Arabidopsis thaliana: one gene and its partners. The protein of the gene in region 3 interacts with the protein of the main gene of each other region in a pairwise test. Each region holds a gene or a part of one and is shown on either strand. Other genes may lie near its edges. The genes, in order: AT3G66654, AT1G14020, AT5G57345 and GPT.

What was found.
Region 1: the proteins of AT5G57345 (region 3) and AT3G66654 interact in a protein complementation assay, tested with the Arabidopsis thaliana proteins (one large-scale study listed by BioGRID).
Region 2: the proteins of AT5G57345 (region 3) and AT1G14020 interact in a protein complementation assay, tested with the Arabidopsis thaliana proteins (one large-scale study listed by BioGRID).
Region 4: the proteins of AT5G57345 (region 3) and GPT interact in a protein complementation assay, tested with the Arabidopsis thaliana proteins (one large-scale study listed by BioGRID).

What each region holds. Positions count from the first base shown.
Region 1 is NC_003074.8:2,086,019-2,091,795, forward strand, and holds AT3G66654 (Cyclophilin-like peptidyl-prolyl cis-trans isomerase family protein), read left to right. Parts: upstream 1-1,897; 5' UTR 1,898-2,165; exon of another isoform or gene 2,166-2,630; 5' UTR 2,631-2,675; coding exon 2,676-2,827; intron 2,828-2,943; coding exon 2,944-2,989; intron 2,990-3,113; coding exon 3,114-3,164; intron 3,165-3,337; coding exon 3,338-3,423; intron 3,424-3,720; coding exon 3,721-3,858; intron 3,859-3,955; coding exon 3,956-4,106; intron 4,107-4,192; coding exon 4,193-4,279; 3' UTR 4,280-4,523; downstream 4,524-5,777. Other genes in the region: AT3G66652 (fip1 motif-containing protein), read left to right, coding at 1-945, 1,191-1,538; AGL91 (AGAMOUS-like 91), read right to left, coding at 5,244-5,777. UniProt on the Arabidopsis thaliana protein: PPIases accelerate the folding of proteins. It catalyzes the cis-trans isomerization of proline imidic peptide bonds in oligopeptides.
Region 2 is NC_003070.9:4,800,718-4,806,219, reverse strand, and holds AT1G14020 (O-fucosyltransferase family protein), read right to left. Parts: upstream 3,501-5,502; 5' UTR 3,291-3,500; coding exon 3,032-3,290; intron 2,952-3,031; coding exon 2,884-2,951; intron 2,799-2,883; coding exon 2,710-2,798; intron 2,618-2,709; coding exon 2,455-2,617; intron 2,348-2,454; coding exon 2,058-2,347; intron 1,969-2,057; coding exon 1,764-1,968; intron 1,657-1,763; coding exon 1,499-1,656; intron 1,377-1,498; coding exon 1,109-1,376; 3' UTR 845-1,108; downstream 1-844. Other genes in the region: LSMT-L (Rubisco methyltransferase family protein), read left to right, coding at 27-431, 512-727; AT1G14010 (emp24/gp25L/p24 family/GOLD family protein), read left to right, coding at 4,430-4,636, 4,722-4,931. UniProt on the Arabidopsis thaliana protein: Glycosyltransferase involved in the formation of rhamnogalacturonan I (RG-I) oligosaccharides in the seed coat mucilage, which is a specialized cell wall with abundant RG-I. Transfers the rhamnose residue from UDP-beta-L-rhamnose to RG-I oligosaccharides.
Region 3 is NC_003076.8:23,228,206-23,232,861, forward strand, and holds AT5G57345 (uncharacterized protein), read right to left. Parts: upstream 2,545-4,656; 5' UTR 2,383-2,544; coding exon 2,225-2,382; intron 2,138-2,224; coding exon 1,967-2,137; intron 1,595-1,966; coding exon 1,357-1,594; 3' UTR 1,086-1,356; downstream 1-1,085. Other genes in the region: AT5G57340 (ras guanine nucleotide exchange factor Q-like protein), read left to right, coding at 1-110, 413-889; HA3 (H[+]-ATPase 3), read right to left, coding at 3,003-3,096, 3,166-3,347, 3,433-3,615, 3,687-3,860, 3,933-4,093, 4,174-4,255, 4,342-4,374, 4,470-4,656.
Region 4 is NC_003071.7:17,299,413-17,304,907, reverse strand, and holds GPT (UDP-glcnac-adolichol phosphate glcnac-1-p-transferase), read right to left. Parts: upstream 3,337-5,495; 5' UTR 3,147-3,336; coding exon 2,764-3,146; intron 2,686-2,763; coding exon 2,598-2,685; intron 2,510-2,597; coding exon 2,418-2,509; intron 2,329-2,417; coding exon 2,210-2,328; intron 2,102-2,209; coding exon 1,986-2,101; intron 1,897-1,985; coding exon 1,769-1,896; intron 1,675-1,768; coding exon 1,588-1,674; intron 1,424-1,587; coding exon 1,363-1,423; intron 1,269-1,362; coding exon 1,228-1,268; intron 1,146-1,227; coding exon 1,025-1,145; intron 938-1,024; coding exon 878-937; 3' UTR 697-877; downstream 1-696. Other genes in the region: LIS (WD-40 repeat family protein / small nuclear ribonucleoprotein Prp4p-like protein), read left to right, coding at 97-294, 398-589.

The DNA of each region.
Region 1 (5,777 bases), on a different chromosome or scaffold from region 3:
GAAAGAAGTCCTATCCGAGCATATGAAAACTACAAAGAAAGAAATGGGTGTGATTGGCTAAGAGAACCTTATTATGAGGACTGTATACCGATTACTGACATGGATTATAGGTACCGGTCAGAGAACTCGTCTGCACATGCAATACACAACCTCAAGCACAGTCCAGAGAATGATCTTTATTGCAGAAGAAGGGGTGGATACGATTATAATTTGCATCGTGATAGATATGAAGATGGAGTTCACAGGGTAGAAAGTAGAATTCCATTTGAGCTGGCGTACAGGGAGATGCGTTCTTTTGCTGAAGTGGAAATGAGAGAATATCAAGGGTATAAAAGACATGAGGAATTCTCTGAAATAGAGAAAAGACATCATTACATTCATGATTGGCATCTTGATAGATTTGTCTCAGAGGAAGATGGTTATAAGTATAGAATCCAAGATGGTTGGTCCTCACCGTCTTTATCTTTGAGAGATTCTTGGTATACCAAAGAAGCAAAAGGTGATTTCCGGAGAGATGATACCAGAGACTTCAGAACACCTGAAGCATATGACAGCCAGAATAACCATTTTCATAAGGCTGCACCGAGAGATGGCTGGACGCAGAATCTTGGTCGTAGCCATAATGTGAGCGTAAAAGATAGACTACAGTATGATGCTGATTGGGTTGGTCCTGATAGAGGAAGATATAATATGGCAGATGACATGCAATGTTCAATGAGAGAAGTTTCTAATTCTGAGCATCCATCATATACTGATGAGATATTTGTCCGCGACATAAGAGTACCGACACATAATCGGATGGCGACCAAACAAAGGTTTGGATATTTACAGAGCCATATTCATGAAAATGATGAAAGACATCACAGATCCAAGAAGCTGAGAGGAGATGGGCATGCTTTCATCAAGCGTCAGGATCATGTTGACTTAGCTGGTAGGCAAGGAAAGGTAAAGATTGGGAAACTAAATCTACATGCTTTTAAACCTATATTTGAATGAAGTATAAACGCCTTTCAGTTATTTATATCCCTGGATTTTCTTTGTGTTATTTCTGACTGTTTTATCACTTTATATGGTCTGTCTTCTATACTTAGGTTTTATGTTGCTCACATCCGTATATTTAGACATCAGTTAGTGTACAATGAAGAACAAGACCCTTCTCATGTGATAGATATTTTGTGTGTGTGTTTCAGGTCTCTAACCAATCAAAAAAAAGATTCTCCAATGGCGGAGATACAATCGAGCAACAAGATGTTCAGAAACCAAGAAAGTTAATGGGCAAAAGCGAAGAGAAAGCTATGCAGAATCGAGATATAAATGACAAAGAAGAAGGCGAGATAATAGAAGAAGTGAAAGGTGTTGAAATAGACAATGAACGTATACAAGAGAGTCTGAAAAAGATGGAGAAACGGAGGGAGAGGTTCAAGGGAACCAAATTGGCGGTAGAAGCGACATTCAAATCTCAAACTGAACTGAGAGCTAAAGCCGATGTTACTAATCAACAGAGGCCAGTTAGAAAGAGGAGATGGTGTGCAAGTTAAAAAGATCATATTGGATGGCTTGTTTCAGGTTAACACAATAACGGTTTATTGATGGTAGGCTATATCTAAACCGATCAATTAAAAAGTGGCTAAGAAAATCACAAAACCGAACAATTGACTGTGACCTGGGTTTTTTTAAGTGATCTTGCTTGTGCATTTTTTTTTTCCCTTTTGTAAGTGTTTACGTAGAAAATTTGACTTTTTTACCAATGCTTATTTATATTTACAGTTTAGTATGTGTAATGCAAAATCAAATGATGCAGCGAAGGATCAAACCAGTGACAATTAGGGCGGAAACCGTATGATTAACGTGATAACCACTAGACCATAGTAAAATTACTTTCTTTTGAATTTAGAATCATTTTCTTGGGTCAAATAGATAACCAGATAATTTCATGAGAAAACCAGACCGAACTATACGATTTTTCAAAAATGATCAACTTTTGTATTTTTGTTTGTGGAATAATATTCGTCGGATATTGGTGAGGTGGACTCGTAGCCGTCGGATAAACACGCGGCTGATCTGAAGCGTCTCTGCAAAAGAGAAAAGAGAGCAGAGAATTCAAACCAGTTTCCATCGACGCAACGACCAATCTCCACGATTCCTCTCTTCTCTCTAACTTCCAGGTACGTTTTTCGAGAACCCAATGAAGCAATCAAAGTCCTTGGAATTCATTTGATTTTACTTTCAGGTCTTTGGATTTCTATAGAAAGAAAGATCTGTTTATTATTTGATTGGAACATGATAAGCTGCTCCGTTTCTCATATCCACTTTTGTTCAATTTATTTCAATTTGATCGATAATTGGAAAAGTACTGGATCTGGTGTATCGGAAGTTACCGGTCAAGCTATGTATGAACCCTTGTGATATTTTCACATGCGTTTATTCATTCAAATATGCTAGATTTTTAATCTGGTCAATACGTGATATCAGGGTTTCTTCAGTTGGGTAACAACTTAATCTTATTGCAGTTTTGATTTTACCAACTTGAAATTGAATTATAGTCTTACAGATACGAATTTGGAGTTTTTGTGTAGTGTATACTTGTTTTCTGGATTGCTTGTCACTTACTGTTGATTTATGGTTTGCAGAGACAAGTTGTATCCCTCGTTTGCTTTCTGCGAAACTAAGGTGCAATGGCGAAGATAAAACCGCAGGCTCTTCTAAATCAAAGCAAGAAGAAGAAGGGTCCAAGTCGCATAAGTATTTCCACTATTATTGTCTGTAATCTTGTAGTTGCTGTAGTCATATTATCGTTGGTCACAACCTATCGCCATTGGTCCCAAAGGTTTGTTTTCATCTTTGAATTGTTCCTTTTTCATTACTTCTGTTATAGTAGATTCTCCTTTTACTTTATGTGATTATCTATAAACTAAAAAGGATATCATTGGTTATATCTCCTAGGTCAAGAAACACAATTGAACATGAAACTCGGAGTCAGAGATTTGAGGTATTTTCTTGAGAGATTTTTTAATGTATAGCTTTTGAGTTTTGATCCTGATGAACTTCCGAGCACTTAGGTTTAGAGTTTAGGGTATTTACCATATGTGATCTGGCTTTGGTTTCTGCTTCAGGACACTAATACTGCGTCAGGGCAAAAAACTTACGATCTTCCTGGTTTTGCTGTAAGTTAATCTCCCTGTTTGCTTGCTTAAGTTTCTTGTTTTAATCCTTGTTCTTATTTCTCATCATGGTATTATGTTCTGTTCATCAGTTTTTGAAGTAAAAAAAATGTGATGTGTCTTATCTGAATATTGATTTTAATGATATCTTGCTTCTATTTTCCTATCTCATGTAGGATATAAACACATCAAAAGGACTTATAACTGTCGAACTCTTCAAAGAAGGTTCCCCTGAAGTTGTGGACAAGTTTCTAGATCTATGGTTAGTATTGGAATTCGTTTGTTTTCCTTTAAGTTAGATAGAAAAAGAACAGTAGAGTAATTTGATTAAGCTAGGTCATGACTTGTTCTTAAATAGGAGTATTACTTCTAGCTTGATAGGATTCAAGTAGCTTTAGTTTCTTGATTGACTGATTTTGATCCTTAAGTCCTCTTGTACTCTTCTTGGAATTTTTGTTTGGAACATGAAACCTCATTAAAGAGAAATGGGCTGAATCAGTCTGTGACGATATTGTAGCTTAATATAATAGTAGAAGTTGAACATTGAGTATTGTTGCAGTCAAAAAGATCACTTCAAGGGAATGCCGTTTCAGCGGGTTATAAAGAACTACTTGGTACAAGCTGGTCACTCACCGAGCTCTATACCTGTAGAAGAATGGACAGCTAAAGGAAAGCTCAGAGGTCGCCTTCACATTGGGTATAACTTGCTTGCTCTGCTTTTGGCTTTTAAGTGTCAATGTTTATCATCTCTCGCTGGTTTTAAAAAATAAAAAACTACATATGTTCTGTTACAGCCCAAAACATGAGGCATTCATGTTGGGAACACCAAAAAACAAAGGGAACAACAAGGATTTTGAGCTTCTGATCACAACGGCCCCAATCCCGGATCTGAATGATCAACTTATAGTGTTTGGAAGAGTCCTTAAGGGAGAGGATGTAGTACAGGTTTGATCCAACTAAGCACAGTCTATCAGCTTGAATGGTTTGTTTAATAGTTTCATGTGTTAAAAGATTAAATCATATTATTACAGGAGATCGAAGAAGTGGATACGGATGAGCATTTCCAACCGAAATCGCCAATAGGGATCACTGGTGTTGTACTGAAACTAGAGACATGAAATGAAAATTTCTCTTCCTTGCTTCCTCTGTAAATGAGGCTCACGCCAAATCCTTCTTCATACTCGCTCTTTTGTATAAATCCTCTTTTGAGGTTTTTTCTTTCTTTCTATTTTACAGTTTCTTGTTGTTTTGTAATTTTATTTGATTTTTCTCGAGGAAATAGAATCTTTGTTTAATTATGCTTCTGATACTTGAGCAAATACATGAACTGATTTTAGAGAATTTTATCCTGTTATGATAGAAAAACTTCTGTATTATACCCGTTAAGTACCATAAAACTATTAGAGAAAAAGAGAGGTCTTTTAAAATTTATATGAGAAGATATGGAGAACAATCTGAAAAACCAGAAACAAATCCTTTAAGAATTCTTAAAAATCTCTACAAGATTTCTTTTAAAAACTCTAAAATAATTCTTAAACAATTCTTAAGGAATTCTTAAATTATTCATAGAATACAATTACAAAAATACTGTATTTTTGTTTTAGGTAATATTTAATAATTTGGAATAAGATATATAGGACATACATCAAATTATGTATTTTGATACTATTTTGACTAAAACTTAAAAATGTTAAAAACACATTTATAAATATGTTAATTAGTTGGTGTACTCTTATGTATTTTTTTCTAATTAAAGATAAATATCTAGAGTGTGTAGACAAAATCTATAATAATATAAGAGAAAAAAAAACAAATAACGCTTTAAAATTTCATATCGTAATCATTATCAATTTTGTAGAGTAGGAGATATTGTTATAATTCATTGTTTTTGAAAAGAGAAAATCTTCATAGTAATATTTGGCAACCGAAAGTTACAAACCATCGATCATCAAGAGGAAGATACAATCAATAAACCTGTACCAACCATCTGCTACATCTCTACCATATAAATCTATAACGACTAATACAAAATGAAAGTTCCAAATCGGTGTTGTTACTGTTGCCTTCTCATTTGCATAACTGCTAATTATCATTAGAGAGAAACATGAGAGAAGACGAAGCCTGCATATGACTAATGTTACTTTGGATCCCACAGCTTATTTTCTTAATCTTAGCCTCAAATTCCTTGAGTTCCTCAAGCGTAAGCTCCTCAATGGGCTTATTGAACTTATCCTGTTCAGCAGATTCAAGCCACTTGTGAAGATCTTCACCATGTTTCTTCTCAGCTTCAGCTTCTTCAGTAATCGAGTTGAGGCGTTTACATATCTTCTTCTCCTGTCTAGCTCTATTGCCTCTACTATAGCCTGATGTTTCACAGCTATCTCCTTCTTCTTCTTCTTCGAATTCATTCTTAAACCGTTCTGCAATCACATCAAAATTCGGTTTCCCGAAGGAATACGGTTTGTTTCCTGGAGAAAAGACAACAATACCAACCTCCGCGTTGCACAGAGTCGCAAGCTCGCTCGCTTTCTTGAACAAACCCAGCCTACGTTTTGAGAAGGTAACTTGCTTCGTGTTTGTGTCTTGCACTTTCTCCATCTTAATCTTTCTCCTACC
Region 2 (5,502 bases), on a different chromosome or scaffold from region 3:
TACTGTTTGGATGATCTCTTCCATAGGTATACATTCAGTACGATCTGAACAAAAGCAATGCAGAACTTGCTCTCGACTATGGTTTTGTGGAATCAAACCCTAAACGGAACTCATATACTTTAACAATAGAGATACCAGAATCAGACCCATTCTTTGGGGATAAGTTGGATATTGCTGAGAGTAACAAGATGGGTGAGACCGGATACTTTGACATAGTAGACGGCCAGACTCTTCCCGCTGGTATGCTTCAGTACCTTCGGCTTGTGGCTCTTGGCGGTCCAGATGCTTTCTTATTAGAATCTATCTTCAATAACACCATATGGGGTCATCTTGAATTGCCTGTAAGTCGTACAAACGAGGAACTCATATGCCGTGTTGTCAGAGATGCCTGCAAATCTGCTCTGTCTGGTTTTGATACGACCATTGAAGAGGTATATATGTTCGAGCTCTTACTTGTACTGTCTTTGCAGCTTAACACTCATTTCTTACTCGTCTTCATCGTCTGTTGTAGGATGAGAAGCTTCTGGACAAAGGAAAGCTTGAGCCTAGGTTGGAAATGGCTCTCAAGATAAGGATTGGTGAGAAGAGAGTGCTTCAGCAAATCGACCAAATCTTCAAGGATAGAGAGCTTGAACTTGACATTTTAGAGTATTACCAAGAGAGAAGGCTCAAAGATCTTGGGTTGGTTGGCGAACAAGGGGATATTATCTTCTGGGAAACCAAGTGAGAATTAGCTTAGCTTGTATAGCTTATCCTGCAGAACAAACTCAAGGCTAGAAAGAAAATCTTTACTGGTTTGGTCTCAGACCACATAGACTTGAATCAACCTCAAGACATCAGAGTTGAGAGACCACAATTTGTATGTTAGGCTATTGCCAAAAGCAGGCTTTTTGAAATTCTATAAGATGAGACATAATCTTCTTTTTAGTTACATCTTAATTTACGTAAAACTAAATAAATCAAGATCAGCAACTATGCAGGAAAATTGAAAAAAATTACAAACAAAAATGGAAAAACTCAGGGAAGGAACTATGCAGCTCCCGTTCAAGTGTTTGACATGCCGTCCTCTTGCGGAAGCAATGAGATATAATATGCTAAAAACATGACTTCAATGTGTTAAATTTCTATGGCCAAACAGGTCGTGGCAATTTGTACCTTCACAAAGACATTCTTGAGGATTTGCGTAGAAGTAATCTTCCTCCTTAGGTTTGTCAGAGATTACTCTTCGATGAGTAGGTGCTCCTGCTCGTCTCTCATGGGCTTCCTTGACTGCTACTGCAAACTGATCCCACGTGAGGGTCTTGTTGTGATGTAAGTCTAGTAGCTCCACGAGTCTCTTACGGTCAAGCAGGATTGTCTTCTTATATCCAAGGTATCTGCAAATTCAAATCAGATATAGACCAATAATGGTTATATAGAATCACAGGTTTGGTTATTCTTAACACCACCTTTTTAGTTGTCATGAAATTGAATGCATTCGACACCACAAATAATTTACCTACGATGACCTTCCACGACTTTTGCCATGTTTCCATCATACGTAGGAATAAAAGTGTTGCTGGCCACAGATACCATGAAATCTAGAGCAGCCATTTGAGACGAATGGTTCTGAAACTGTTGCAGCTCTGCTGACTCCAATAGCATTTCCTTCTTTACCTATAACCACAGGTGAGTAAAACTGATAAGAAAAAGTGCATTGTAATGACGATGCAGTTGAGCATTCTTTGTAGCAAGAAAAGGGAAACCAGGACTGGTAGACTCACAATTCTCGGGAATGCTTCCCTTAACACGGATAGTCTATGCTCGCTCCCATAAATCTCACCAGCTGCAATGTATATCTGTGTATTTTTCTCAAATCCCAACGCTTTTAATACCAAGGCCACCTCCTCTGGCGTCAAAGGACACAGCCCTTGCGCCCTCCTCTCCTCTGAGACTATCTCCTTCTCTCTCCACCAGGGATATGTGTACCTAAAGAACACAGAATGGACCTATGAATTAACAACTAAAAAGACCTATAACCAGAGCACCAATTCAGGAGAAATCTTTTGAAGAGAAACCTCATCTTTTTTAGCTCTTCCGCTTCTTCCTCAGTGCAACCATGAGTGCAGCCAGAGAAAGCTAACATGTCCATCTCATATCTCAGATGCAAAGCCACAAATGGCCCTCTTTGTTGTAGAATCCGAACTAACTTAGATCCCAAAGCCTCAAGCTGTGGAGTGAACTTTAGTCCCTGAAAATTCACCCGGCACCTGAGCCACTGGAGAGAGAGCGGAAGACCATTGTTTGCCAGGCGGGTATCAGTCCTATTGAAGTGTACAACTTTATGCTTGCTGAAGAGAGGCAATACCTGAACAAGAAATTAACCAATCACATATGCAAATGGTTAGGTAATATCTTGTAACAAGGATAGTCAAAGGAACCAAAACAGCAAAACTAGTGATAAACAAGACAAACCTGCTTCAAGTAATATTTTTCATCAGACCAGCTCACAGGAGGCATTTCGAACATTTGATATCCATACTTTCTACTAAACCGTTTAGGAAGCCTCCTTAAGATCCGAACTTCATCTCTTAATGAATCAATGAAATGTCTCACATCAAAAATATCCTCAAAACCACTGCAAACAAAAATGAGGATACTTTAGATTGCTAAAAAATGTTAAGCATATAAGACACATGAGTGATTCTATAAACACCAAAGATAGAGTACCTAGGATCAGCCCAGAAAGATGTTTTGTCAAGCTCTGGAACAACGAGAGTGAGATTCAATAACCGAGCAACAGTCACCATATCACATATCTGAAACACAACATAAAAATCAGAATTTGGAAAAACATCAAATCTGAAAGAAGAAGAAAAAGAGAATTAAAGCAAAGTCACCAACCGCGGATCGCATTTGATTCAATCCACCATTACAGGATACAAGTAGAATACCATTGCTTGTATAATTCCCTGCACAAAATCAACAATCTCGTTAAACTCTCTCAAGCACCAACGAACCCTAATGTCCCCTAAATAGAGAGAAAACTGACTCGGAGGAGGTAGAGGAGGTGGCAATGGAACTGGCTCAACAGGGGCTGAGAATCTAGAAATCTGATTGGTTAAACCAGTGAAGATCCGGGAATGCCAAAGCTCACCGGCGGCGAAAAGCTGAACCAAACACGTCCAAACCAAAATGCTGGAGCAAACTCTAACGAACCATACTTGTACACGAGGCTTCGGAACTGCCGGCGGAAGCGGAAGCTTATCGCTTCGCGCCTGAGTAATATTACTCTCCGATCTAACTTCCATCTCCCTCCTCCGACGATCGTCGTCGCCGCTTCATGAGAATAAAATTACTATAACCTAAATTTCTCCGATCTTGTGAGATGTCAGAAATTGAAATTAGATGACAAACGCGAAATGAAATGCTTCTTCTCTCCTTTGTGTCAAATGGTTTGAATCTCGAGGAGTTTTTTTTTCTTTCGAAATTCAGAAGAAGAAAAAAAAATCACGAGACGGAAAAAAAAAAAAAAGAGGTGGTAACGGTGAGAGATGGGAAAATAAGTTAATTAACCGTCAAAGTGTCTTCTTCTTCTTCTATTTATTGTTTTCCCAAGAAACTCATTCTATTGCTTACACAATTTATTTCCTAATTCAGAAAGCTTCAATTTTCCTAACTTGTTTCATTATATATATCATTAAATGTCAAAGATTATTCTATAACCAAAAAAAAAAAAAAATAGGTTTCAAGGATAATGATTGATCAGAAAAACATATGATAAATAAAGATTTCAAGAATATTCAACATTGAAAAACATATAAAGAAAGATGACACATTTTGCCTTTTTGATAGTCGTTGTCATTCGTCAACGGATTCACCTAATTGTTCTCCCGTACTTTTTTTATTACTGTCATCTATTTATTGCACTAATCACGATTCAAACCACTGTTTATATTCATCTCCTTTATTCAGATATTTTCAAGCTGTTGTAAAACAAAACAAAAACTGAAACGAAATCATGACACGTACCTCAATGTTGCATTATTAACATCCCTTCCAAGGAAAGATTACTATTTTATTCTTTACTAAAAACTCGAGTACAATTGTCTTTTCAACAAAATTTCCCAATTAAGTTTAAAATTAACATTACCAAGTCATATGTAGTTATGCTTGAATTATAAAATCTGGATGTGTTATTTGTTTCTTTATTTACTTCTAACTTACTTTAGTGTGATCCACTACAAGTATATAGGTCCAACATTATTAATGGGCCTTAATTTTAAAGCCCAATTCCAGAGGGTAGTACTCCACGTGTTTTAACGAATGAAATACTAACACGTGGCAATGCACGTGTTGACTTTCTTTTGTTTCCTTCCTTCCGTTTAACAAGAAAAATAGCTAAACTTTGAAATCCGTCAGATCGATTTCTCTCTATATCGGAGCCGTCATGAATCATCGTCGGAGCTCGATCGTACTATTGATCCTCTCAATTTTATCTCCCGTGACACTCTCTATACGATACGAGCTACTTTCTGGGCACACGAAATGCATCTCAGAGGAGATTCACGCAAACGCAATGACCATCGGAAAATACAGCATTATAAACCCTCACGAGGATCATCCTCTTCCTTCTTCCCATAAAGTCACCGTCAGGGTAATAATCATCCGATCGGATCGCATTTCCCTTCAATTTCTTCTTCCGGCGATTTCAGTATAATGCAATGTGTTTGATTTTTAAGGTCACATCGCCACAAGGGACGGCTTATCACGAATCGGACGGAGTAGAATCGGGACAATTCTCGTTTGTAGCTGTGGAAACAGGGGATTACATAAGTTGCTTCTCCGCCGTCGATCACAAACCAGAGACGACGCTGATCATTGACTTTGATTGGAGGACGGGTATTCATACCAAGGATTGGTCGAATGTGGCAAAGAAGAGCCAAGTCGAAGTAAGTTTTTCGCTTTTTCTTTACTCTTGAAGTCTTAACTTAGTCAAACTAATCTCTTTAGAGGAAATAGATTTTGATGCTTCTAATGACATGAACAATAGAGCATTGCGCCGGATGTGTGAGAATTTGATAGCTGCCTAAGTTACACCAAGACATAGTGCTGGAAAGTGGAAAGTTATATCTGAAGTGAGAAATGCTATGTAGTCTTGGTTTATAGGTTATGTTGGTGCATTGGTTTGGTTAGAACAAGGCCATGAATTAAGCTGACAGGGCTCGTGTGTTACTGACCTGTGTCTGCAGTCTTGCATATGAGAAAATAGCTTCATTAGTTTCACCTTTGAACCCCATCGATTTCTTCAGCTCATTCAGGAGTTCTTTCCCTGCTAAATGAAGGTGGATAGGACTAGGCTTTAACAGACGCAGAAAATTACTATCTTGAAATGTGGTAGATAGGACTAGGCTTTAACATACTACAGAGCAAGACTAGCTTGAAATGTAACATAGCCTCTTAAAGAGATTGCAGAGTTTTTGAAGGAATGTTTTGTTAACCTTGTTATGGTTGGATCTTGTT
Region 3 (4,656 bases):
AAGAAGAAGGAGTTTTTATTTTAAGGTCAATGGATAGGTTTCTTGAAAAGCAAAATGCTGAATCCATCAGACATACAATGCAAGCCCAAGAAGATATTTTTAAGCAACAGGTACGTTATACTTGCATATATATATATATATATATATTCATCATCATATGGATTTGGTCTTTCAAACAGGAAATATTTAAATTTATGCTTTCCTTCGAGCCTAATTACATTTTAAGCAGCTTGTCGGTTTTTGAAAAGGATGATATATCAGTTTAACGAATTAAGAAATGAATGATTTAGTTAGTTTTTTTCAATCGGTTGTCTTTTACTTTAGTTTAGATTCTTGGACCGATTCAGGTTATCCATAGCAAATTAGCTTTAAATTAATAATTATCCATAGCATAACAAAGTGATAATCGCAGGTACGAGAGCTACATAGAGTATATAATACACAGAAAATGATGATGACTCAACTCAAACATAGAAGCCAATATTGGACTGTTAACAACAAAGACCAACCCGGTTCAAGAGAGAGAACCGGAAGTTGTTCAGGCATAGACCTCGAAAATGTGGTTAGAGCAACACAAACGACGACGGATCATATCGAAGAGAGCGAACTCGAATTGACATTGAGCATTGGATTGTCTTCTTCATCTACTACTATGACCACGACAACGAACAAGGACATGGACTACTCGTCAACAACGTCAATGAGATCATCATCGGATAATTGTAATAATCAGAGCAATAATAATCTATATAATAACAGCAATAATAACCAAGAAAGTAGCGGACCAAACACGCCTATGAGCAGCTCAAGTACGACGTCGTTGGATCGAGAGAAGAAGAGACCTCATTGGCTCTTTCAAGGACTTAGTATTAACCGAACCTCTTCTTGATTTTTGTTAATTCACTGACTCTTTCTTTTTTCTTCTTCGTCTTCTTCTTGATTTTTTTATTTTCTTTTTGTATCTGATTTATCGTTATTATTATTTACGAGATTTACTGATTTCACTTTTAGCTAGGTCTAATTATTCTTCTTCGTTAACACTGATAAACCATTGACAAAATATACCAATGTTTTCTTTATATTTGGTTGCTTAAAGAATTTATTTTCACTTGCTTTCGGAGACCAATGAGGTCATACACTAGAACCTAAAATATAAAGAATGAAGGAAAAACAGAGAAAATTTGTATATAAATTTAGTATTTGGAGGTGTTTTCAAATTGCCTCTATTAACTTTAAGATGGGTCTTTAGTTACTTATTTCAAGATTTCCACATATATCCGTCTTCTTCCATCATATTTTTTTACACAAAATCGTATGTATGACTATTGTTACATAAGCCTCTCTCCGTTTTCTCCTCTAATAGTCGTCTTCGTCATCTTCATCATTTCTTGATCGGAAAAAGTTTCTAGCGACGGCTGAAGCGGCTCCAAAAAACATGAAGAGAAGTAGGAGGTCAAAGCCACCGCCAACACCTACTGCCACCGCAGGACCAGGGGCAAAAAAGGAAAACGGTGACCATCCGTAACCTCCGTAACCATATCCATAGCCACCGATCAAAGGTGGTGCAACCTGAGGATTCACGTAGATGTTGGTCCTGCGAAAACAAAGCTGCGTTTAGAATGCAAAGGTACTAACTACTAAGACTAAAGTCGTGATTATATAATGCAAACAGAAAAGCCTAATGCATTGAATCAAGTTATTAGTGTTGGTCGTTGGGGTATCTTGGATTCGAATTGTAATTATGGGGTTCAAAATATAAAGTGTAATAGAAAATTATAAGAGGCTTAAAGTTTACTAATGGGCTTTAATGTGGATATGAGGCTGCTAAAAGCCCATACATGGAGTCTCTTGTAAGAAATCTCAATTAAGGTCTTAATTTAAATATATACTTTTTTCGCCAGTATTTTAATCATATACATATTAAATAATTAAAATCGAGATTAGAGCTTCAAGTAAAAAATTTTACCTTGATCGATTGTTAATTCTGGGAGGAGGACGAGGAGCTGAAGACCGAAACGCTTGACCGCCGATTCTTCCACCGCTTTTGGCCGCAAACGCATCCCCAACACTTCCCAAAGCCAAAACGCCAACCGCTAGCGTCGCGATTGCCAACTTCGCCAGCTGATTTTCATTTTTCCTAATCAATAGATAAATAAAAGATTGAATAAGACCAAACCCGAGTTTAGAATCGGAAAAAAATTTTCTAAAGGTAAATAAAAATTACCGAGAAGAATCAGTTTCGTCGTCGTGGTGTGAAGATTTACAACAGATTGAATTAGGACGAGTGAGGTTAACATTGGATTTGGGTTTAAAACTGTGTTGGAAACTGAAATTGTTTGACAAAAAGCTTTGTCGTGAAGAAGCTATGGCGGCGAAATACATTTTTGTTTTGTTTCTGGTGATTTGGTCTAAAGCTCTTTTTTCTCTGTTAAAGATCCTTCTCGTCTTCTTGGTTTTGTTTTTGTAGCTCTGGGTTTGTGATAAAATGCTTGCCACGTGGATTATAACTAGTGGCCTACTCAAGAACACACATGTATTCCACGGATTAATGATATCCACGGATCAAATCGGTCTGACGAAATTAATCGAACCGGTTATTCATCTAACCGGACCTAAATCTGCTTTTGGTTTAATTAGAAGATATTTTAAGTAGTAAAGATGATATCATCTCATAAGAAAATTGAAAGGTGAATTTATAAATATTGTTATGTTCACATAATATCCAAAAACAATATCTATTGAACTTTTATAAAACATAAACGTATTAAACCTATGATATTAGTATCTTCTCTTTTTTATTCAAGAGAGGGGAAACAAAAACACATGGTTATAATTAAAGTCTAAAACCATGAATAAGGAAGGAAGAAAAACCCCAGGAGTTTAGAGGAACTTAACATACACAGAAAAAAAACCTTATTCTCTTGTTATAAAATCATCATCATTATCATCTCTTAAACAAAAGGATCTTCTTCTTCCTTAATCATCTTCTTGTTAAATCTTTATTAAACGGTGTAGTGACCAGCTGTCTCAATGTCTAGTCCCTTTAGCTTCACCACTGACTCTACATGTCCTTTAAGCGTATGAAGTTCCCTAAGCCTGTAAACAAAAACCCTAACGTTAACTTCTCTCACAAGAAACCGAAATTACTTTTTACAAATCATTTACCTTGCGATCTCAGCTCGTCTCTTGGCTTGATTTGCAATCTCAGACAGTTCTCTGTAACCACCTCTCTCCGGGACAACGTTGGCTGTTTCAGTGTTCTGAAGACCGTGTAAAGTCCTTTGTGCATGAGCCCATTGTGCTTCCCTCTCCTCTATTCCATAGTTTTGCTTAGTGGTAAACGCAGTCTGTTTTTTCAAAGACACAGAGAGATTTTGTTTAAGTCTTAAAATCACATTTCAGAAGAAGAACTAAGAAGAAAGCAAAACGTACCCTGTTGTCAATGATATTCTTCCAGGCTGTTCCGGCTAGTATGTAACGGATTGCGAATTTCATTATGTCTAATGGAAAGTAGAAGACAATACTGTAAAGCCAGATTACTCCAGCCCATCCCCATCCTATTCCTTTGATTCTTGCAAATTCCCAATTACCGTAAACCGCAATAGCCGTTGCAATCTACAAGGTCAAAGTTTATGAATCAATCATTCAAGAGAGTTTATAATCAATCAAGAAGATACAATGCTTACCAATTGTGCTACCCAGAAAGCAATTAGCAAGAAATATCCAGGTCGTTCTGTAAAAGACCAGCTTCTAGATCGAGTGACGAATATAAGAGCTTGGCTCACAATACTGACTTGTAAGTATAAAGCAGACATCATCTCATGTTCACTGCCTCTCAAGTCTCTCACGTGGAATGTTCTCTATAGGAAACAAACAAAGTTAATGCTTGTGTGACAAGGAATCTAAAGAGAGGTTGTTTATATGTTACATACCGGGAAGAAATCGGTTTTGTATGCGGCCCAGAAGAAAACAACAGTCATTATAGCCATGTAGCCTCCAAGAACAACGCCGGTTGCGAAGATTTCTTTGAGTTTCCAGCTATCTGGTGTTGGAGAAGGCTTGACTCTGTCCTTTGAGATAGTCATGATGGTTCCTGTTGCGTAAGTTAATGATGTGTTAGTCGATTAGAGCCAAAATTTAGAGAGAGCTTTTAAAGAGAAGAAAAAAACTCACCATCGTTTAATATAGCAATGATCAAAACCATGAATGGTGAAAAGTCGAACTTCCATATTAGAGCAATGAGCATAAACCCAAACTGTGAAAAGGCACAAAGTGAGAAATCATATAGAAAAAGAGATTATTTGATGATATTCAAGAATACATACAAGATTGATTACTTACCACTATACGAATGGTAATTGAGACTGCATATATCTGTTTAAAGGAACATTTAAAAACACCATGAGAACAAGTTATCATGGTGTAAAGATTCTAAAAAGGTTATGGTTTAAGATTAAGAGAACACTCACTGTGTAGTTCTTCATTCTCTGGAAGATGGCTCTACTGGTTAGAACCGCGCTGATGATCACACTGAGACCTGGCTCGGTGAGGACAATATCAGAAGCACCTCGTGCAGCGTCAGTTGCATCCGCCACAGCGATACCTATATCCGCTTTCTTCAATGCTGGAGCGTCATTCACTCCATCTCCAGTCATA
Region 4 (5,495 bases), on a different chromosome or scaffold from region 3:
TTCTAATTTTGTTCCATTGGTCCTCCTCGTATCCAAGCAAAAGTGATTATTTACTAACCCTTGTTTTAATATCCTCTGTTTTATATGTTTCTTCAGGTTTTCTCCGTGAATTTCTCTCCTAATGGTTATCACTTGGCATCTGGTGGGGAGGATAATCAATGCCGTATTTGGGATCTAAGAATGAGAAAGTCATTGTACATTATACCAGCTCATGCTAACCTTGTGTCTCAAGTGAAGTATGAGCCACAAGAAGGCTACTTTCTGGCCACTGCCTCATACGACATGAAAGTCAATGTAACTACTTCTATAATCCCTTGCCTTAGTATTTTTTTTTTTTTCAGTCTTCTGTTTCATTGGCTTATAGTTTGATTCCAATTTCTTATATTTTGTCTACCAGATATGGTCAGGAAGAGATTTCTCGCTCGTTAAAAGCTTAGCAGGGCATGAGTCAAAAGTCGCCTCTCTAGATATCACAGCAGATAGCTCGTGTATCGCTACTGTATCACATGATCGCACCATCAAGCTATGGACAAGCAGTGGAAATGATGATGAAGACGAAGAGAAAGAAACAATGGACATAGATCTCTAGTTTCATTTTTCATGTTTGTGCAAGAAAAAAAACTTGGGATCTAGGGATTTCGAGATTAGCTTGTTAGAGAAACTCATTAAATTGTATTTGATCTCTTGTCGGGAATTATAGAAACTCAGGATGCTGATACATTGTCTTGAAAATTTTGCCATTTCGTTCAACAAAAAGCAAATGAATGAACTTTGTTTACTTGAGAATACTTCAACACGTTAACAAAAATTGTTGATATATACGATTGTACAAGGTACTAAAGTAATGTTCTGTATTTGTGACTTCTCTGATTGCAGACTATTTATACCAACCAGCAAGAAAGTGTCGAAGTATGAAGCAGAAGGCGCAGGCTAGAGCCTGTAGCAAAAACAAGCAGAGTATGACAACACTAAAGCGACTACTTCATTATATACGAATGGCGATATACATATATCTGAGACCTACCTGGAAAACGAGAAGATGGATGCAAAGAGACTTTTCTGATTTAGGACCAAACAACCTCAAGTAAACATTGACGAGTGTCCCATCTTTTGTGCCGGTCAGTAATCCGGTAGCAGGATCATACCTGGATATTTTCAAAAGACAAGATGAGTGATGCGTCTGTTCTTTAATCAGTCTACAAAGGGTAAGAAAACAAAGGGGGTTACCTTGGGAGACGATGGCGCGGACATTTCACAATCCCAGCAAGCTGAAGAGTTATCATATATAGTATGTTAAATTTTTGAAACATGAGTTGACAAGATTATACGTATGCCATAGAAGAGTGAAAAGGTGATATGAACCTGAGGAAGCGATAATAGAAAGTTCAGAACTTGAGGAAGAAAGAAGATGAGGAGGGTTTCACTGCAGAAGCAAAATTTCAATACAGAAAGATGGCATGGGAATCAGTTGCATGGTCATACAGTAGCTGGATATATGATGCAAATGATCAATCTAAGAGTTGGTAGTTTCCATGTATTAGTGAAGTGCCTGTGCCTCAGAGAAGATAAGTGGGTTTGGAAGTATACCTGAAGTGACCCAGAATACCAACAACTGCCATAGTCATTCCGGCGAAGACTGTGTAAGTGTCTCCAACAAAAACTGAAGAAGGATACCTAACAGCAGAAGATTGCGAGAACTGGTCAGAAATATCATTACTTCCACTCAAAAAAAAAAAGTTTTAAAGAGAAAGCCTGCTAGGGATTTTACCAATTGTAAGCAAGCATTGCCAAGGATGTGGCCATCAGCGGTTGAGTAAGAAATATCGAGAAGGCATGAGCTTGGTGATACTCGGGATCAACAGATGCTCCGATTTGCATAACGTTGTGTATCAGGATCTACAGGTAACTGGGATGCATCATATCTCAACCCAAAAGAAACAAAATGAGAAAAATTCAGAGACATTATGTATGACCATAAGACTTACAGCAGCGGCAATAACAACTGTTTGACCGATTTCAAGGCCATTCAGACCAGCGTGGATGTTAATAGAGTTTGTACAAAAGACAGCAAGTAGCCCCATATATAACTTATATATCCTTCCTGCCACGTTAAAACATCTATTGAGCTAATCATAATCATTTACCTCCTCAAAAGAAAAATACAAGTCAATGTGTACAAATAGGTGGTATCATGTACAAGAACCATTACCTAGATTAAGCACTTCCAAGCCAATATAAGCAACAAGAGGTTTTGGTATAACAATAGTTGTATGACCAGCATAAGCCATCAAAAGTGGAAGGGTAGCAAAAGATGGCAGGACAAGCTTTCTGTTGTTTAAATTGACAACAGTAAACATGTGAATCAAAAACGATAAGCGTGAATTTCATCAAAAAAATATGTAGGAATTAGGACTTACACTCTCCAAGGCACATCAAGGACATCATCTACAAATCCAAGCAAAATCATGAAGCAAATAGATGCTAGTGCTGCATTATACTCCACAAGCCACTGCACAGAATCATCAGCCAGACTCACAAACATTGATAATGAGAATAACCACAGAGATTAATAAAACAAGACGTTAATGCACACTTACATTAGAATCTTCAGTGAAGTTAAAATACTGAAATATTATCGCCACGATCAAAAAGACAATACCAACAACAATACCCAATGACTCTGGCCTGAAAACAAAGAGGATGAAGAAATTTTAATCAAACTAATCTTAATCTTTGGAAAATCAGAGATTGATAAAAACTCACACTTTAATATCTCCTTGAGGCGTGCCTCTTTTGTTGATATCAAAACCAAACATGTTACGTCTCAGAACGTATCTGGCAGTAACAGGAATCATTTTGAGAGTGACGAAAAACCCAACCAAGCTAAGCCCCGCGTTAATTAGAATCGATCGCTTGAGCTCATTATCAACCTTGTAGTGAAAACAGAGAAGGTATAGATAGAGCGAACAGAGAAGAGTAGAGATCACGAAGATCACTCCTAATTTCGGCGGCGCGAGACGAAATTCCTCACCGGAAGCAGAAACCGTCTTTCGGGTCATCTTCTGCTCCGATGGCGCTGAGTTGGGTTCCGACGGGTCCGGTTTGTTGGGAATTGAGATCGATGAAGCTCTCTTACGAGCTGCCATGGCGGATTTGTTGGCTCGTTTCGTTTCCCCGCGCTCTGGATTTTGACTCCAAACTCCGTTCGCCTGAGAAAGGATTCTTCAGAGCAATTCCCGTTCTGCGTCATATAGACCAATAAGGATTTGCCACGTCGCTTCAAATACGACACCGTGTCATCGAAATAGAACTTTATGGATTAATCATAACTTTAATTATTCGTATTAAGTACAAGAATATATCTTGGATTATACTTATAGAACTCTCTTTTTTTAAGAAAAAAATGCATAAATTTTGCTAAGAATTTTGTTGTAGCAACACATCAGCATGACATAAAGCAACTATTAAAAATTAAAACTAAAACTTATATTTAAAAGATTATGTAATAATATAGTTATTAATTAATAGTCATAATTTTTAACAAAGTTTCTTTTAATATAAAAATTGACATAGAAAATTATTTATTTTGAAGATTTTTTTATTGATAAGATGAAGAAGATGATCCATGCGACATTTGCTCACTAGTTACGCTTCCATCATTGGGAGCTTTGAGATGATCATTTTGAAGAAGAACATTCAGATGAAATCTCTGAAGAAGACGTAGTGCTCACAGAAGAAACTTGCACACTACTTTCTTTATCCGTAGAAGTTTGAGAGCTACTAGAATTATCACTATTTTCATCTTTTGTTACACAACTACACCAGTTTCCCATTAATGTCCCTACAAACATAATAAAAAATGTTAAAGTTGCTAAATTATATCTTAGTTTTTTTTGTAAGTGTTTTCAAATTAACTGAATAGTACTTATTGGTCTGTAGGATCAGTTTCGAAAATGCAACAACCCATTGTAATTTAAAATAAGTTTTTGTAAATGTACCTTAGCTTGAATCTCCTCAGAGTTTGTTATGATCTCTAGCTACACAATTCATCTTTTTATAGTGAGAGAAAAATATCTCAAAATTCAATACAAAATCTTTTACTATTAATTACTTTTTTTTTTTACAAGATCGAATCGACCTATTATTAGAACTTGGATGCATATGGATCATGATTTATGTCACAAAAGTTTTGTGATATTTAATCATAATCTAAACATTTTCTATGTCTTCTACTATATTTTGACACTTGTGTGTAAGACATAAATGGTAAGAGGAAATATTATTGATAGTGTTTTTTTTTTTTTGGATTTGGGTCAAAAATATTGTGGGGGGAAGCCACGTGTACAAATAAAAGTAAAATTTAGTTAAGACAATAAATATGAGAGTTAATGTATGTATCTTAGAAACAAAAAAAAAATATTAAGTATGAAATATAAGGAAAGATATAGCAAAAAAAGTAAGAATAAATCAACATCTTATTATATAAAATATGGTTTTCAAAGTTATTAACTCATAAGATTATGCCACGTGTCAAGTCTATCGATCAGATGTTGCCATGTGTAAGAAAATAATTAACCATTTTCTTCTTAAAGAAATAGAAATACTAAAAAATAAATTAATTAACTTTTTTCTTCTTAAAGAAATAGAAAACTAAAAAATAAATCATTATTAACATATACTAATTCATATTTCTATATCTAAAAAATATTACATTTTATTTTTCTTAACCAAAAGAAAAATTAACAAAAAAAAATCTTATTATATAAAGTATGGTTTTCAAAGTTACTAACTCATAAGATTATGCCACGTGTCAAGTCTATCGATCAGATGTTGCCATGTGTAAGAAAATAATTAACTTTTTTTTTCTTAAAGAAATAGAAAACTAAAAAAAGAAATCATTATTAACATATACTAATTCATATTTCTATATCTAAAAAATATTACATTTTATTTTTCTTAACCAAAAGGAAAATTAACAAAAAAAATATATATATATGTTATTGGTCAAATTTTTAATATATATGGTATTAACAAATGTTTTATTATTATGAATTATGTTTTGTTAATTGTTAATAATTTTTAATATTAACTAAGATATAGATTTGATCTTATATATATATATTATTTTGACATGAAATCATTATCAAGTAAGATGAAGTGTGTAAAATTAAAATCGAGTTTTTTATGAAATAGATAGTTAAATTGTATTACAAAATTGAATGTATAAGATAAAATTTTATTTTTTCTTCTAAATACTAAATTACAATAAAGAAAAAGTGTGTAGGTTACTATTTAGACTTCAAATATCATCAATAAGATTGAATGGGTATAACAAAATAAAATGCATAAGACTACTATTTTACTATTCAAAATTATATATCAAGAACAATGTATCGATTATTATTTTACTATTCAAAATTTAAATATTATCGATAAAAATTACATTTACATCTTATACCCGCTTATTTAGGCGGGCTTTATCTAGTAAGAAATAA